Astyanax mexicanus: one gene and its partner. The protein of the gene in region 2 purifies or fractionates together with the protein of the main gene of each other region. This does not show direct contact. Links are inferred from orthologs where the notes say so. Each region holds a gene or a part of one and is shown on either strand. Other genes may lie near its edges.

Region 1 (8,206 bases), on a different chromosome or scaffold from region 2:
GACTAATGTCACAACTAATAATTGAATTTTTCACATGTATGTATATATGTTTTTTAAGCTTCAGCTCCTGCACTGTCTCTGTGCTTAGAGTTAGGGACCATCTCAAAACGACCATAATTTGTAGTTATTTATTACACGGTTATTTAAATTAGATGATTCTGTTGCCAGCACAGTACTGAGTGTTTTAACCACCACAGTACAGCAGGATTGTGCGATTTAATGCACTTCCGTTAAGTATCTAGTTTCTGCACATTTTCTACAAGATGAGCAATTCACAAGGTGCAGGGGATCCAGACGTTGAGTTTGTGGAACTCATTATTGCTGAAATCAAGGCTGTAAACCTGGCTCAGGCTGCTCTCGCAGGCCCACCACAGTGATTCCTATCTTTGCACAACCAAACCTTTGTGGTGAGGCTCAGTTTGGAGATTAATTAGCTATTTAATCTGAAATGGTTAAACATGGTCAAGATTTTTACGTTTCTTGGACTTGAATTCTTCTGTTTGTTTGTTTTTATACAATTTGTTAAATCTGTTGGATTACTTGTGGCTTTTTAACTCCACTTTTTGCTTCATCATACAGAACTGAAATGAGTATCATCCTCTATAACAAGTATTAATATCTCTCTTCGCAAATATGGCATGTTTAAACTTGTTTTTTTTGTATATCATTTTTAACTTTGATATCTCTATGGTTATTTTTGCATTGTGTCACAATGGATATGGATTCAGTGTCTTTGTATTTGATGCATCAACGCGTAAATAGAGGGTACAAATATATGTTGTTAGTCTACCATGACTGTTGCATTTTTGGCAGCTATTTCATAAAAAAGACGTGTGTTGAAACCAGCGTTTAGTTGTATGTGTCATATTTCAAGTCACAGATTTTCATATCAGTCATTTTCTGTACTGAAAAAATGTCTGTTTTCTATGTGTGTCAAGCCCCACAATTCACTCCTGTACCATTTAAATCTCTCTCTTGGTGGTGTACAGTAATTCAGCATTGTTTTAAGCAGAAAGCAACTCAAGGTTGGAATCACAGGGCATCTCACAAGATGATTTCATGATGCATTGCTCACTATATATGCAACATCTGTGGGCAAATGTACCAAATATATCCATGTTAGAGGTGTCTAACAAGGTACTAGCCATGCTAAAAAAAATCAAACACAGTTAAAAGGAGGTTCTTTCTCCCTGCTAAAAAAAATCTAGCTCAAGACCAGCTTGTCTTCTGAAAAAAAAAAGCCTGTGCTGGTTGGCTAGCTCATTAACAAGCTCTTCACCAGTATAGGGTATGTTTTTTTTTTCTGGATAAATAGCTGGTCTTAAGCTAGATTTCTTTTTTTTAGCAGGGAGAAAGAACCTCATTTCATTTTTAGCTACTGTTTTCCACAGTAAACTAGTAAAATCCTTTTACTATAATATTGAACATAATATTGAATAGTACATATATCATCATTACATTCACACATGGAGCCTTATTCCCTTCCAACAACTCCTACTTTGTGTATTATATTTTGTCAATGAGTGTAATTTGTAACATTTTAGCAATTAATACCCACCCTCTGTGTCTGTATTCAGGTAGTCTTTCCTTCTGTTACGATTAACACTGTTTTTAAGGTTGTTTATATTGTACAGTTAATGTTAATCATGAAACTGAAGCATAAGGCCAGAAGCAAGTCTCCGCAATAGTATAAAGTTATCCTTTAACTCAGACTGTAGAATTATCAGTAGGGTACAATCCAGCCTGCCAGTGGTGTTGTACCACCGGACCAGAATGCGACAAATTGGATAAGTAATCTCTGAGCAGCAGGCTTTTTCCAGTACAGATTTGAGTGCCCTCCAAGAATATGCAATTTGACACAGAACACCTTGGGCCTGGACTTTCCTGTAAAACCAATTATTTTCTGACAGGTGAACATTCCTCTCTGGAACCTGTGACTGGGATCCGTTCCCTCTGTGAGAGGATTTGTTCCGTTTTGCAGATAAAGCTGAAGAGAGCTTGGAATGGGAAAGGTCTCACTGGAGGTAGTTCTGTGTTAGGCCTCTCTATAAACTCAAGCTTATTCTGACTTACTGAGTTACAGGGGAAGGGGTGGCTAAGGAGGTCTGAGTTATACATGCTGAGTCATTTCTAAATAAAGACAGTAACGACAAACAGCTGGTTAGTTCTTATTTAATCTAACCAAAAATTTGCAGTGTATCTTCAAATATCATGAAAAAAAAATAGAACATATTTTTTATAATATAATCTTTGTATTCATAATATAATTAGAAAAACTAAACTCTCAAGATTTATATTAATTACACAAGATATTACAAGTGACATATTGCAAGACTTTATTATATAACTTTACATCAGTGTGGTTTATAGCTTATAAAAATCCAGCATCTCCAGCTATTTAAAGACTTCCTAAGATAAATTTCTTTTTACCCTCAGTAGTGTGTAACACTGGGTCACACTGGGACACTGATGTGCCCGTGCACACTATGTATTCTGGTTATTGTTGATGTAAAAGTTGGGTTTGTGCACTGCTGCGTGTTGCCAAGATAGTAATGAACATCTGTCTGTTGATGTCTGTCTAAGTTGCTTTCAGCCAGTGGTGCACCTGTGTTTTTTGCTGCCAAGATAGCAACACGCCAGAAATATACCTGAACACACCTCACTTCCCGACCACCATGGCCATCAACAGAAGACATGAAAATGGAGTATTAGTGGGGTGTAAGATAGCAATTTTTGATTAGTAGAACTGAACGTTCTTAGAGCGTTCAATGTTCAATGAGCAAGTTTTCTGGGTGTCTTTATTTAATGATTTTAAACATTCTGGAAATGTTGATGCAACATAACTTGTGTCAGTGTTTTCACCTTTAGTTTTGTGACGTTAATTTTAAAGTTTCCATAACATTAGAATTATTCTAGCTGGAAACGTTATGTGAGAAATGTTATAATAACGTTGTGATGCAAAACAGTATCATGGTTTACATTATTATTACTGAAACATAATTTCTGTGACATTACAGGCTAGCCTTCCTGGAACCTTTGTAAAACATTGTGAAATGTTCTTATAACTTTAGCTGGGATACCATCAAGTATATCAAACTTAAGTGAACCCATAAACTAGTCTGGCCAACAGTCTGTATCCAGCTGCCAGAAGAAGCTGATCCACGAGCTGGATTTCACAGCCAGGCCACATAGTAATTTCTTTCCCCATCGCAATTTAAATATTTAATCAGTGTTTTATCGGCTGTGTAGAATCAGATCTGGGAGACAGTGGCCTTCATTAATCAGCATGAACAGACATGCTGAGGAGGCGGGAGAGGAACTGGCATCCTCCGTCCACCATACTGAGAATCGATGCAGTTGATCCCAGATGATATTTCACACTGTTCTCATGAATCCAGGACACAAATAGAACTTTAATTCAGTTCTGTGCACCCAAGCCACTCCAGGCCTCTTCAAATCATCTTATTAAAGAGGTCAGGTTCAAGTCTCTGCTGCCAGTTACAGGCTGGAAGCCCTGTTTTATTTTCTAAGTGTGCCACATAAGAGTATAATTATATGTGTTGTACTTACCATCTATGTTTGCATGCAGTGTAGCATACAGTATTTTATATTACAGTATTTTATTAGCAGCTTCACAGTACCAGTCCAAAGTTTGGACACACCTCTTTTTATACACTTTTTAAAAGCTTTTTTACATTGTAAATTTAATGTTGAAGATTATATGAAAGCTATACAGGTACACATGGATAATTATTCACTTTTTTGTTCACTACGAAAACAATGTGTCCCATAAGTGTATACTGTATAACATCAGCACTTAAAAACATTATTTAGGATGTTTCAATCTTTCGACAAATCATCATATTTAAGATTTCAGACTACACAGTAATAATATTTTCCGAGCTTAATCACTTTTTAATTTCATTTTCATTTATCCATACATCCACAATGTTTTTATTCTTAGCAATAATACAAATAATACAACTGATACTAAAGTGCTAGTTCTTATAAAAGCTATAGATATAAAAATAGGCAAGATGATAGCTATTTGTGAAACAGGCGGGATGACTCCAACACATTTAGTGGCAGCACTCTCAACCAATAGGTTTTTTTGTTATAACTACACAGCCAATAGTATTCTCAGGAAATGAAAATGGGGCGGGTACTGATGGCATCCGTGGGAATTGACCATAGACTGGGTCACGCAACATATTGAGTGGCAGCGCTCTCAGCCAGTAGCCTTGCGCATGAGTTCACAACCAATAATTATCTGAGAAATTGAAAAAGGGGAGGATACTGGTGGAGTCCGTGGGAATAGACCATAGGCTGGATATGGAATAGACGGTCAGAGATAGTATAGTGAAATAAGTCAGTCTTGGAAAGACATAGACGTTTAACTGGTTTAAATCGGTATTTACTCATTCATAAAAAAAACATAATATAATAATTAATGTTTTTTTTTTATTCGTAATAATAACAATAATGCAAATATATATACAAATACGTATGTGAATCGTAGTAAGTAATTTTAGCAGTTACTAATACTAAAGTGCTTGTCCTAATAAAAGCTCTAGCTGTAAAAATAGACAGGAAAATACCAGCTGTGTTAAATAGGAGGGATAGCTCCAACATATTGAGTGGCAGCGCTCTCAGCCAATAGGCTTGAGCTCTTGAGCCTTTGTTATGATTTCACGACCAATAGAAATCTCTGGAATTAAAAAAAAAGGGGGCGGGTGCTGATGGCGTCCGTGGGAATAGAAGAGTAGCGATAGTGGCCGGTTGTAGTGGAGGAGGAGGAGACAAGGGCTAGGCTTGGAGAGATAGAGGAGAAGTTTAGCTAGCGGCAGCTGGTTTTAACTGGGGATAAAAGCAGGACCGGGAGATTTTATCCTGGATTTATTCATTCAGAGGGGAAGAAGGAATAGCGTGCCTCGGCTTCTGCTGGAGGTGGGCCTCGGCCTGAGCGCCGGGCTACTGGTGGATAGCTAGCCGCCGAAGGCTTCGAGCTGCCCGGATGCTCAGAGCTGCCTGTCCGCATCTCTCGCCTTGCTGGAGCCGGCACTCTTCTTTTAAAGCCGGGCTGCGGGTCGCCGAGGACGCCAGTGCTCAGGAGAGCTCAGGCCTTTGAGGGGACGGCTTAGCTGGCTTAGGAGCTAGCTAGCTTAATTCTGCTGCTTTGGCGCAATAATGCTGGTAGTTATAATGCGTCCAGCAGCCCTGTTAGCGACGTTAGCTTCGTGAGGAACGGGGTGGGATATTAGCTATTGGGACATGGGTGGACAGTCTCGAATAAGAGGGTGGATATGTGGCTAGTTAGGTCAGCTAGCTAACTAATGAAGTAACTGGCTAGGCTAACTAAATAGCTAACCTATCTTAACTAACTGAGGTGTTATTTAGCTAGCTAGAGTGCTGACAGTGTTTTATAGTCCTGTCAGAACGAAACGTCTCTTTAGAGTGAATAGAAACATCAGAGTTTTGGCCAAAAGTGGCTAAAAGTCGTGTTCGCTGAGGTGCTAGTTAGCAAGCTAGCCAGTCAGGCAGTTTTCCTCGACCTAAGCTAACGTTAGTTCAATGAACATAGCACCTAAAATAGACTGGAATGCTTGCTATTCCTTGATGTTATCTAGCTAGTTAACCTAGCTACGCTAGTGTTTTAGCCCTCTGCCTTCAAATAGCCAACTACGCTTAGCTAAGCTAAGCTAGCTACGTTTCATTCACTGGAAGCTGCCCCCTTTAATTCCAGTCTAATGTGCCGCCAGTAAAAGCAACCGAGGCAGCTCCTCTCCTCCTGGTGTTCATTTCAGAGGACTGTTTTGGGAGCACTGTGTCATGGGCAATACAGTATCGTGCTGCGTGTCTCCCAGTGGGAGTCCAAAGCTTCCACGCCAAGCAGATCGCTTGGAGGACTACCAAATAAACACAGACTTGAGCGACGACACGGGTCCATACCTGCAGCACATCAGTGACAGAGAGCTGCCGGACGGTAGGTGTTTCCATCTATAACCAAGCTAACTACACACTGTAGGTAAGCTAACACTAGGCTGTACCACTCAATAGATCTTCAGCCTTTCTCCTGGAGATCCAACCCTACCATCCCCTGCAGGTTTCATCATCTCCCATTCAAGGACTCCTGAAGGCAGTGATGATGATGTTCAGTTCATGTGAGGTGGATTAGGTTTGGAGCCAAAGGCTGTGGGAAGGAGAAGTTGAGGATTTGATTGCATTCGGCCGGAGCAGCCTTAGTGAGACTTAGTGAGACGGTGGATGATTAACTTTTTGGTTTACAATTGCCCCTTCAACATCTCCCAGGAGTTTTTGGGATGAACTTAATATGCTTCTGGGAGATGTTTGGATTGCGGCATGATGGACCTTAACTCTCTCTTATTAAAAATGGAGAGAGTTACCCATGGTGGGTATCTTTATCAATAGGCAGTCCTTTTGTATGGAGGTTGTCCAAGCCACAATGGGTGGGTGGGTGTATCCTAAAGTAGAATCCCACCAGATTCCTTTTTGTACAGATATTTTGTCTTTGTTCTTCGAACTTAGTTTTAAGGCATGTCATGGAAGAGTATATTTTAAGTATTGGGTGCCTGAGGCAAAATTGTCTGTTAATGATTAAATATCTTTACTGCATTTACCATTCAACTTTTGGTCAGGCACTGGACACTGTTTTACCATAAATTTGTATAATATTTTGACCTAAAACATATTAAGTAGATGGTTGGAATGGGAAAGAGTAAACATATTGGCAATGATTATTGTTAATGAAGGTCATGATTCCTGTGGCTGTCTCTGTTTTAATAATTTATAGTTTTAAGAGTTCTTAAAGTGATGAAGTTATGCATGCGGAAGGGTGGAGTGAAAAATGGCCCCAAATGGAAAACTTCAAATGTCTAAATTTTAACTATTTAAAATATGTCCCTATTATACAGCTAAACAAAGCTCACAAGACGGGTAGATTCATTGGTGAATCTGGAGATCCTAAAAATGTGGTGGAATCATTCTTTACTGTAGCTAAGATCACTATTTCAAAGTGGTCTTTAGATGCTTTTGGACATATTCTTAATTTAATCAGGGATTGGTGCATGTCTTTGGCATCCCCCTCACCCCAAAACACACACAAACACTCTTATCCAGTTTCCTGAGCTCCTCTTCTTGCGACTCGGGTTACTCTTGAGGGCTCCACTGCCGTTATTCAGTTACAGAAGGGGAGTTCTTCTTCATGATCAACAACTCTGATCAAAGTAGGAGCCAACGGTAAAAAGCACTGGAGATGTTAAAACTGAAAGCTGCTAGTTGAGAGCATGCCTCTCGTTTGGGGGGTAGGTATGTCCCTCTGGGGCTGTTAGGAGAATTTACTGCTGTTTACTTTACCCCCAGGGGAGCCCTACACAGAGGTAGCATCCTGTGCAAGCACCTTTTGGGTCATGCGTAGTCCTATTGACTTTAAGAACTATGGGTTTTCGAAAATCTTGATTAATGGAAGTTGCAGTATTATGTATTGCAAAACTTTTAACAGTCCTTTGAGACTGTCAGAAAGCTGTGTTAAACTTTCTTCAGATTTCACTGTTCAGGGTTTTAATGCTATGGTATTTTTTTACCAGTATAACAGTATGTAAATTCATAATGTCTTACTTCAGTTTTTGTTTAGGAAATGCCTACACTTGTATAAGTAGTGAGGTGTTATATAGTGAATGAGGTTCAACACTGATAGTGGATGCCAGATGGATGGGAAATAAAGTTTCAAACCTAAAAGGAGATTCTGGCAGAAATCACATCTATGTTCAGTTCAGGAGGCCATATGCAGTTCTTTAACTTCGTACTTACTTGCTTAGTCCTCACTGTCCCTTATGGGACCTCTGGCCGCTTCCATGGGGCATGGTAAAAGTCATGGGACATTTTAATACTTCCTCTTGCAATTTTTTTGCAACATCAGTGTACATTCCCTTGATCACAATATTGCAATATGTTACAGAGCAGTGGTAGTGTACTTCGTACACTGCTCTACCAGGAGCGCAACTTGAAGACGGAAAGGGCATTCCAGTCTGTTCCCTTGAGTTTTGCCAGACAAAAAGAGGAATGGGAATGCACAGTGGGCCAGCAGAGACGTCCAAATATCTGCACAATTTGTGGCATTCCATTGAAGGTGGGACAGCTGTACTCTTACTGCCCTCCCTTCTCTCATAGGATCAGCTGAAATAGTTGC
Region 2 (7,729 bases):
ACTGAGAGCACATACATGAAAAATGTGAATAAAAACAGGGTGATTTCACCAAATATTGATTTGTGAACTCTTAAAACTTTATAAATATGAACTTGTTTTATTTGCCTTATTTGAGTTTTTTATCCATTTCTCATATCCTGCAAATAAATGCTCTAAATTACATTTTTTTAATTTGGAATTTGGGAGAAATGTTGTCCGTAGTTTATAGAATAAAACAACAATGTTTATTTTACTTAAACATATACTAATAAATAGCAAAATCTGAGAAACTGAGAACCAGAGCTGTATATATATTTATTTTATATATTATAGATTGCGCATCTTTACACATAGGACTTGCCCTATGTGCTATGTGTAAGACAGCCTAGTTTTTTTGTCAAAACCTTTTTTTTATTATAAAGAAAGTGCCAGTGTTTTTATATTTTGTTCTAAAATATAAATACATATAAATTAAAATATATATTTTTGTATTATATGGTTTAATACCTAGTGTAGTACTATATTGTATATTAATTATTTATAATATATTATATCACAAAACTCCAGGTTTCAATATCAAAAAAGACAGCATAGTATCCAACTATTTCTACACAATTTAGTAATAAAGCTTAGGTATGTCAAAGCAAGTAAACAAATACTACAATGTACAGTGGAGGAGCACTTGACTGACAGCCCCAGTCTTATCTCAGGGGACACGCTGCATTATAATCTGCATGTGGGAGGCAAGCCCACTCAAGTGCTCTGTCATTCACTGCATGTGTCAGTATAAGCAGCTCACCAGTAATTACTTCATCTGACTCCTGATTTAATGCACGCATGGCAAAATGCATCCCTGCTGTACGTCCTCATGCATGCACACAGCCTCTTCCTGTAGAGAGCTGATGGACACAGCAAAGCCACGCGCTCCAATAACACACAGCTCCTGCATTTCTGCTCTGCGGCTTGCTGCTGATCAATCTGAGCTGCATGAGCTAGGTTAGCTAACAGTTTCCAGTTATAGCCAGCTGGTTGAGTGGAATTAGTGCAAGCTGAAGTGTTAGCCCGGTGATCTGTCCTGTTCTGCCGTGCCCAATCCCCTCTTTTGCACTGCATCATTTGCAACCATGCATTGCACTGCACTACACTGCACTGATCTGAAGTGAAGTCCATTGCAATGGTTATTCAAAGCATTTTAATGCTAATGCAAAGTAACCAATGCAATGCCAAGCTCACACATGCATCCATTAAGGAGTACAATACTTGAACATATACATGCAAACATGTTTGAATAACAAGTTAAAGCTCTAGACTGTTTGTGCCAGATCCAGATCTTATTCTCTGGTCCATGGACCCTCAATTGTTTGCAACCATGCATTGCATTGAATTAAATTCCATTGCAATTCACCACCAATCTGGCATGGACAGATTGATAGCTTAGTTTTGGTAGTTAGCTAGGTAGCAGTGTCTATGTTGTGGTGCATTGGGACAAAAGCAACAGTGGTCCCAGTTTATGCCCTAATCTCACTAGCTAGCAAACCACACATGGTTAAAAAAACTTGAGCCCTCTGCTCCCTTTTTCTCTCTCATTCTCTGACCATGCATCACATTGCATTGCTTTGAATTTAATTCCACCCCAGTTGCAATTCAATGGCAATGCAATGCCAAGTTCATACTGTATATGCAAAAATGCATGCATGTAGAAGTCCTACACTTGCTCATATACATACATGAGTGCATGCATAGCTAGCTAAAGCTCAAAACAACTCGTGCCAGATCCAGATTTGTTTCTGAAGTGTTGAAGCTGAAGCTGCTCAGCAATATGGCACGTGCAGATAGATAGCTTAGATAACATAGCTAGTTGTGTATATGGTGTGGTGCATTGGGGGCAAAAGCAAAAGTGGTCCCAGTTTGGGTCCTGATCTCACTAGCTAGTAAACCACATATGGTGAAAAATCCTTGACCCTTCTACTCTCTCTATTCGATTTCAATGCCAATGCAAAAGCAACCAATGCCTAGCCAATGCAATGACAAGTTCATACTGTAGCTACATGCATGCATGCATTTAAGAATACTACACTTGCACATATACATAACCTATATGCATGCATGTGTGCATAGCAAGCTAAAGCTCGAGACGACTTGTGCCATATCCAGATTTGTTTCTGAAGTGTTGAAGCTGCTCAGCAATCTGGCATAGTTATTAGCCTAGGTTAGGTTAGTTAGATGTAGTTGTCTGTATGTATGGTGTGGTGCATTGTGGGCAAAAGCAAAAGTGGTTCCAGTTTGTGTCCTGAACAGCTAGTAAACCACATATGGTGAAAAATCTCTGTCTCCTTATCGAATTGAATTAAATGTTTACAGCAATTGCTATTCAATTACTTATCATGTCAATGCATAGCCAAGCTCATCCTGTACATGCAGACATGCATGCATTTAAGCTAGTTGTGTGTATGGTGTGGTGCATTAGGGCCAAAAGCAAAGGTGGTCCCATTAAAACCCACATATGGTGAAAGTAACTAGTAGCTACTTGCTTGTAAACCACATATGGTGCAAAATGCTCGAGCCTTTAACTAACCCTTTGAATTAAAAAAATTCCAATGTAATTACTATTCAATGCATTCCAGTGCCAATACAAAGCAACCATTGCCTAGCCAATGCAATGCCAACCTCATACTGTAGATGCATGCATTAAAAAATCCTACACTTGCACATACAGCTACATGCATGCATGCATAGCTAGCTAAAGCTCTATACGACTTGTGCCAGGACCAGATTTGTTTCTGAAGTGTTGGAGCTGAAGCTGCTCAGCAATCTGGCATGGGCAGATAGATAGCTTAGATAACTATCTTAGGTTAGGTTAGTTGTATGTACTTATGTATTTATGTATGTACGTATGTAACGTTATGGTGCACTGGGGCAAAAGCAACAGTATTCCCAGCTCGTGACCTAATATCACTAGGTTAGCTAGTAAACCACGTATGGTGAAAAACCCTCGAGCCCCTGCTCTTTCTTACCCGTGGACGAGATCCCGTCGTGCCCTTGTAATCTTAGCAATGTCCCAAAGCCGCCGTGTGCTCCCAGTAGTCCTCGGCCATGACTCTCAGCGCCCTCCAGGCGCGCAGCATGGTCAGCTAGGCTCTCTCTCCAAACACGCCAAAACCCTTCAGAGCAGCAGCTGTTACCCCGCTCCCTCCGCCTGGCCAAATCCGGAGCAGTCGCTCGGTCCGGGGCTTCTGCGAATAGATCCGGAGTCACTCACTCAGCCCAGCCGGAGAGGTGGGGAGGGACACACTCACAAAGCAGCCCTAAACACGACCCGACGCCGCGCTGTTTCACATCCTGGACATGGCTGACAGTCCTGAGATCTAATTTGAGGTGTTTACCTAAACGTTGCTTAACGCCGCGGTACAGTACAGGCCTGCGAAGACAACGCGTCCCCCCCTATTAAAGTGGAAGTGGCGCACAGTGGACTGACCCAAATTCCATTCAGCCAAGTCAGACCGTACCATTCAGGCCGAATGCTCAGGGGAGCAGCCCGGAGCGAGATTCCTCTGTAGCCAGGAATTCTCATCGCAGGGATTCCGCTCAATAGTGGTTAAGCCTGGCCTGCAGGAAGTTCTACACAGGTTGCTGTTGTTATTATTATCTTCTTTTGATCTTAATTTCTTATCAATGAAACCTCAAGTTTTATTTGTATCTATTTTTATATTTTTTACTGATATTTTAATTTAAATTTAAGTTTGAAATGATTAATTCCAGTCATGCATCTAGCCATTAGCTGCTGGAACCCTATCTCTGGGTGGGTACAGTAGATGGCACTCTTTCCCCTCATCACTCCTAGGGTGATGTCGATCAGCACAAGGCGTCTGTGAGCTGATGTATAAGATAGTTGGTACGCTTTCCTCCGAGCGCACTGTGGTGCTACTCCGCGAAGCTGCATCAGCAGTTCAAAAAGATGTGTGTAAAAAATGTGGTTTAATTTTTGGCCATATCATCCAGCTCTAGTTGTTTATTAGTGTTAAATCAGTTTTAAATACTGATCTATAGAAGGTAAGCCCATACTTTGTATCCTTTGAATGGGGACATGGAGGGGAAACCTAAATCCTAGAAAGATTGACCTGTTATAAATACATATTTTAAAATATTCAATTATAAAGGGTCATGGGGTCTTTGAACAGGGATAAGGAGGGGAAACCTAAAATCTGGAAAGCCTGACCAGCCTACAGACTATGTGGTGTGTAAGAGAGAGAGAGACTGTATATGACAAAGAGAGAGAAAGAGAGCAAGAGAGAGAGAGAGAGCATACCATTTTGAGAGAGAGCATTTATGTGACTGTGTGTTATTACTGTGATTCTAAAAGCATGCTTGGTTATCAATATCCATTTTAAAATATTGATTTATAAAGGGTCAACGTGGCCATGTGGCCTTTGAATGGGGACGAGGAGGGGAAACCTAAAACCTGGAAAGCTTGACCGGCCTACAGACCATGTGGTGTGTAAGAGAGAGTGTGTGAGATAGAGAAAGTAGAGTGTGTGTGTGTTAGTGTGTGTGTTAGTGGTGTGGGGGTGTCAGAACCAGGCCAGTGGAGCCCCTGAGTGACTCACAGCTCTGGCATGCACTCACTAGAGCCCCCAGCAGCTCTAGTGCTCTCTCTCTCTCTCTCTCTCTCTCTTTCTCTCTCTCTTTCTCTCTCTCTCCCTCTTTCTTTTTTTTTTTTTTTGCTCATTCTCCTTCACTCTCCCCTAGAAGCACTCTTCTGCAAGAGTGTGGGCCTGGAGCACATCTTTTGTGCACTATATTCCACTTTTTACCAATCCGGACTCTCCTCTAGAGAGAGTGAGACAGAATGTTCCAAGTAAGAGTTCCAATAAAAGCAGCTAAAAATGCTAAAAGAACATTCTGATTTACTAAATATTAAATAAAATATACTATACCAGTCCAAAGTTTGAAGGCACTTAAAAATCTGTGGTTAATCGTCATTTAACATTTGTCTGCATTGTAGATACTGAAATCTAAAGTTATCCAAAGTATGAAGAAAAGCATATGGATTATTTTAAATAAACAAAAAAAATTATGTTGTATATTTTTTACCTCTTGCTTAGATAGAGATAGCTTTGCATATCTTGGCTGGATTTTCTCAGTCAGTTTTATGAGGTAGAGTCATCTGGAATTCAGGCTTTCAGTTAACAGCTGTGCTGTATCAAGAGTTAATTACCTGAATTTCTTGCCTCTTAATGTGTTTAAGAGCATCAGTTGTAAAGTTGAGAAGAGGTAGAGTTAGTATACAGTGAATATACCTATTTAAGTAATGTTCTAATCTATATTATGGCAAGAACATTAAAAGAATCCTCAACTGCAGTTGCATAGACCCTTAAAAAATGTAATGATAAAACTAAAAGAGCAAGTTTGTCAGAGTTACCAGCCTCAGAAACCACCTAAATGCTTCACAGAGTATTTTGGTTTGTTTAACATTTTAAGTCACTACATGATTCCTTATGCATTCCTGTATAGTCTGAATGACTTAAATATTCATTTACAATGTAGGTAAAAAAAAATATATATTTTATTGTTAATAAATATACATATCATTAGTTGTTAGAATATTTATGTTTAATGTTTATCATATATACATTAATTAAATAGTTCCAGTCACAGTGCATAAATAATTTGGGCGTCAATTTTGCTGGAAGGACAAAACTGAGGGGGAAAAGGAAGGAGTTCACACTATTTTCCAGGTAAGCTACATTTTTTATACTTAGCAATTGTTAGTTAGCTAACTAAATGTCTGAGATAACACTGAGCTAATGCTAATGCTAACTAACTAGCTAACTTACCTGTAGCACACAACAGCAGGTAGTAGTAAAACACAGACACACAAACACTTATTTAGAGGATTTCTGTGTGTAAGTTACTGTTTAAAACAGTTTATTAATATGTTTATTCGTTTTTTTAATATCTAACAATTTAAGTAATTTGTAGGCTTTTCCTTTGATTCAAGTAATTTCCATTAGGACATTAAAATCAATTAATATTTTATTAGAGCATGTTTATATGTAAGGGGCACTTAAAACCCTCAAATTTTCCCAAAAATAAAGAGTAAGCCTTATAATCTGGAACACCTTATGTATGAATTTTACTAATCAGGTTGTAAGGAGCAGTAAAGCCTCTCCGCTTAAGTACAGAATTATACAGGAGTTTCAGTGAAGTTTTTTCAGCACCGAGACTGGAGCAGTATTAGCATTAGCCGCTAACCACGCTAATCGCTAGCTCTTTCGCTGTTCAAAGATGAGTATTATTGGCCTGTAGCCTGCTGTCAACCCTGGCTAGCAATGCTGGAGCAGCATTAGCTGCTAACCGCGCAAAGCCCTAGCCTTTTCTCTGTTCAGAGGCAAGTATATCAGACTGTAGTCTGCGTGTTTACCATGTTAAAACAAGCTGTGTGGGAAAAAAATGCTACCTAATATCACCCTGGCTAACCGGAACACATAGGGTTCCTCAGCGTATCGCTGTCAGGCGACATTTACTAGCACTAAGCACAGCTAGTGCTGCACCCAGCCTTAGTGAAAATCTGGAAATCTAAGCTTACTGTAAATAAAAAGAAGCGCTTTACTTACTCAAATTAACAGTTACCCCCCACCACCACCCAGCGGCAAGATCTGCTGAATTGGATGGAAAACATGGTGACACCCATGTTCCTTACTATTGTCGCATAATGTGCCTTATAATCCTTATAGTGCAAAAATAATAGAATAAAATTCAGTATAGAGCTGTGCTAGTTTTGGCCCCAATCAAATAAGATGTGCAGAACATATCTGTGCAAGTTTGAACTCTCTGTGCAAAAATAAGCCAGGCCTAATTTATCTGCCAGATTTGTTACAGATGTTATCAGTGGTCTTGGCCAGATTTGGACCAGAGTAAATTTGCTATAAGGGACATCAACTTCAAAAACTTACTGTTCACTTGCTGCATAAAATTTACAGATCTCACTTCTTTTTAGGTTCTATTGGGACCGGATCATTAGATGTTATTTATCTTAACTATCAGTCAGTGTTTTTATTGTAATGACTTATTGGTGTATAGCACCTAAAGAGCATCATAAAATATAACAATGAAATCAGTATGATTGAAAAAATAGCATGCCTGTAGAGTGTAAATAGTGGGAAAGAGGGGTAAATAATGCACATGCATGTGGGCAATGTTCTCCAGTCTCGGTTAAAAGCTGGTCAGTGTGTGGACTGTGTGCAGCTGAACTTAATTAAATGCAACACTAGCTGTTGGCAAGGCCAAGCCCATACGTCTGACCTTGGCTTAATTAATGCTAATGCTAATGGTGAACTTCCACTGTGGGCCAGCTGTAGGCAGTGTTTAGTAAGGAGGTCGAGGGCTGGCTACTGCCATCAAAGCACAGAGCCACTGTTCAGTCTGAGGTGTATTCACTTGTGTTGCCAGATATTTAGACATTAATAGCAGTGAATGAAGTTATTTTTTTTCAGAGGTGAGCCAGTAAATCTGCACTGCTATATATGTTATAGACTGACTACTGTAAGTTATATCCATGTTTTATTTCTGTGGTGTTCTATAGCGTTTGGCGCCGGAAGCACAGCTCTCCATCCTCTGGACTACGTTACCCAGAACGCACCACGCACTGACGTCACTTTCTAACGCGACCACATGTCCCTGCACATGACACCTCCAGTAAGTCAATCACCGGAATATTGAATTCACCTGTCTACACCCATATATAAATACA

Evidence for each region. The genes of interacting proteins can lie anywhere in the genome.
Region 1: the proteins of cdk16 (region 2) and ccnyl1 purify together in Homo sapiens (affinity purification with mass spectrometry; 4 studies listed by BioGRID and IntAct, counting the BioPlex papers as one, with this or other methods). This does not show direct contact. The link is inferred for Astyanax mexicanus from reciprocal best matches to the Homo sapiens genes CDK16 and CCNYL1.

What each region holds. Positions count from the first base shown.
Region 1 is NC_064418.1:11,190,613-11,198,818, reverse strand, and holds the start of ccnyl1 (cyclin-Y-like protein 1), read left to right. Parts: upstream 1-4,736; 5' UTR 4,737-5,829; coding exon 5,830-5,983; intron 5,984-8,206. UniProt on the Homo sapiens protein: Key regulator of Wnt signaling implicated in various biological processes including male fertility, embryonic neurogenesis and cortex development. Activates the cyclin-dependent kinase CDK16, and promotes sperm maturation.
Region 2 is NC_064419.1:4,685,108-4,692,836, forward strand, and holds the start of cdk16 (cyclin-dependent kinase 16), read right to left. Parts: upstream 3,430-7,729; 5' UTR 2,994-3,429; intron 1-2,993. UniProt on the Homo sapiens protein: Protein kinase that plays a role in vesicle-mediated transport processes and exocytosis. Regulates GH1 release by brain neurons. Phosphorylates NSF, and thereby regulates NSF oligomerization. Required for normal spermatogenesis.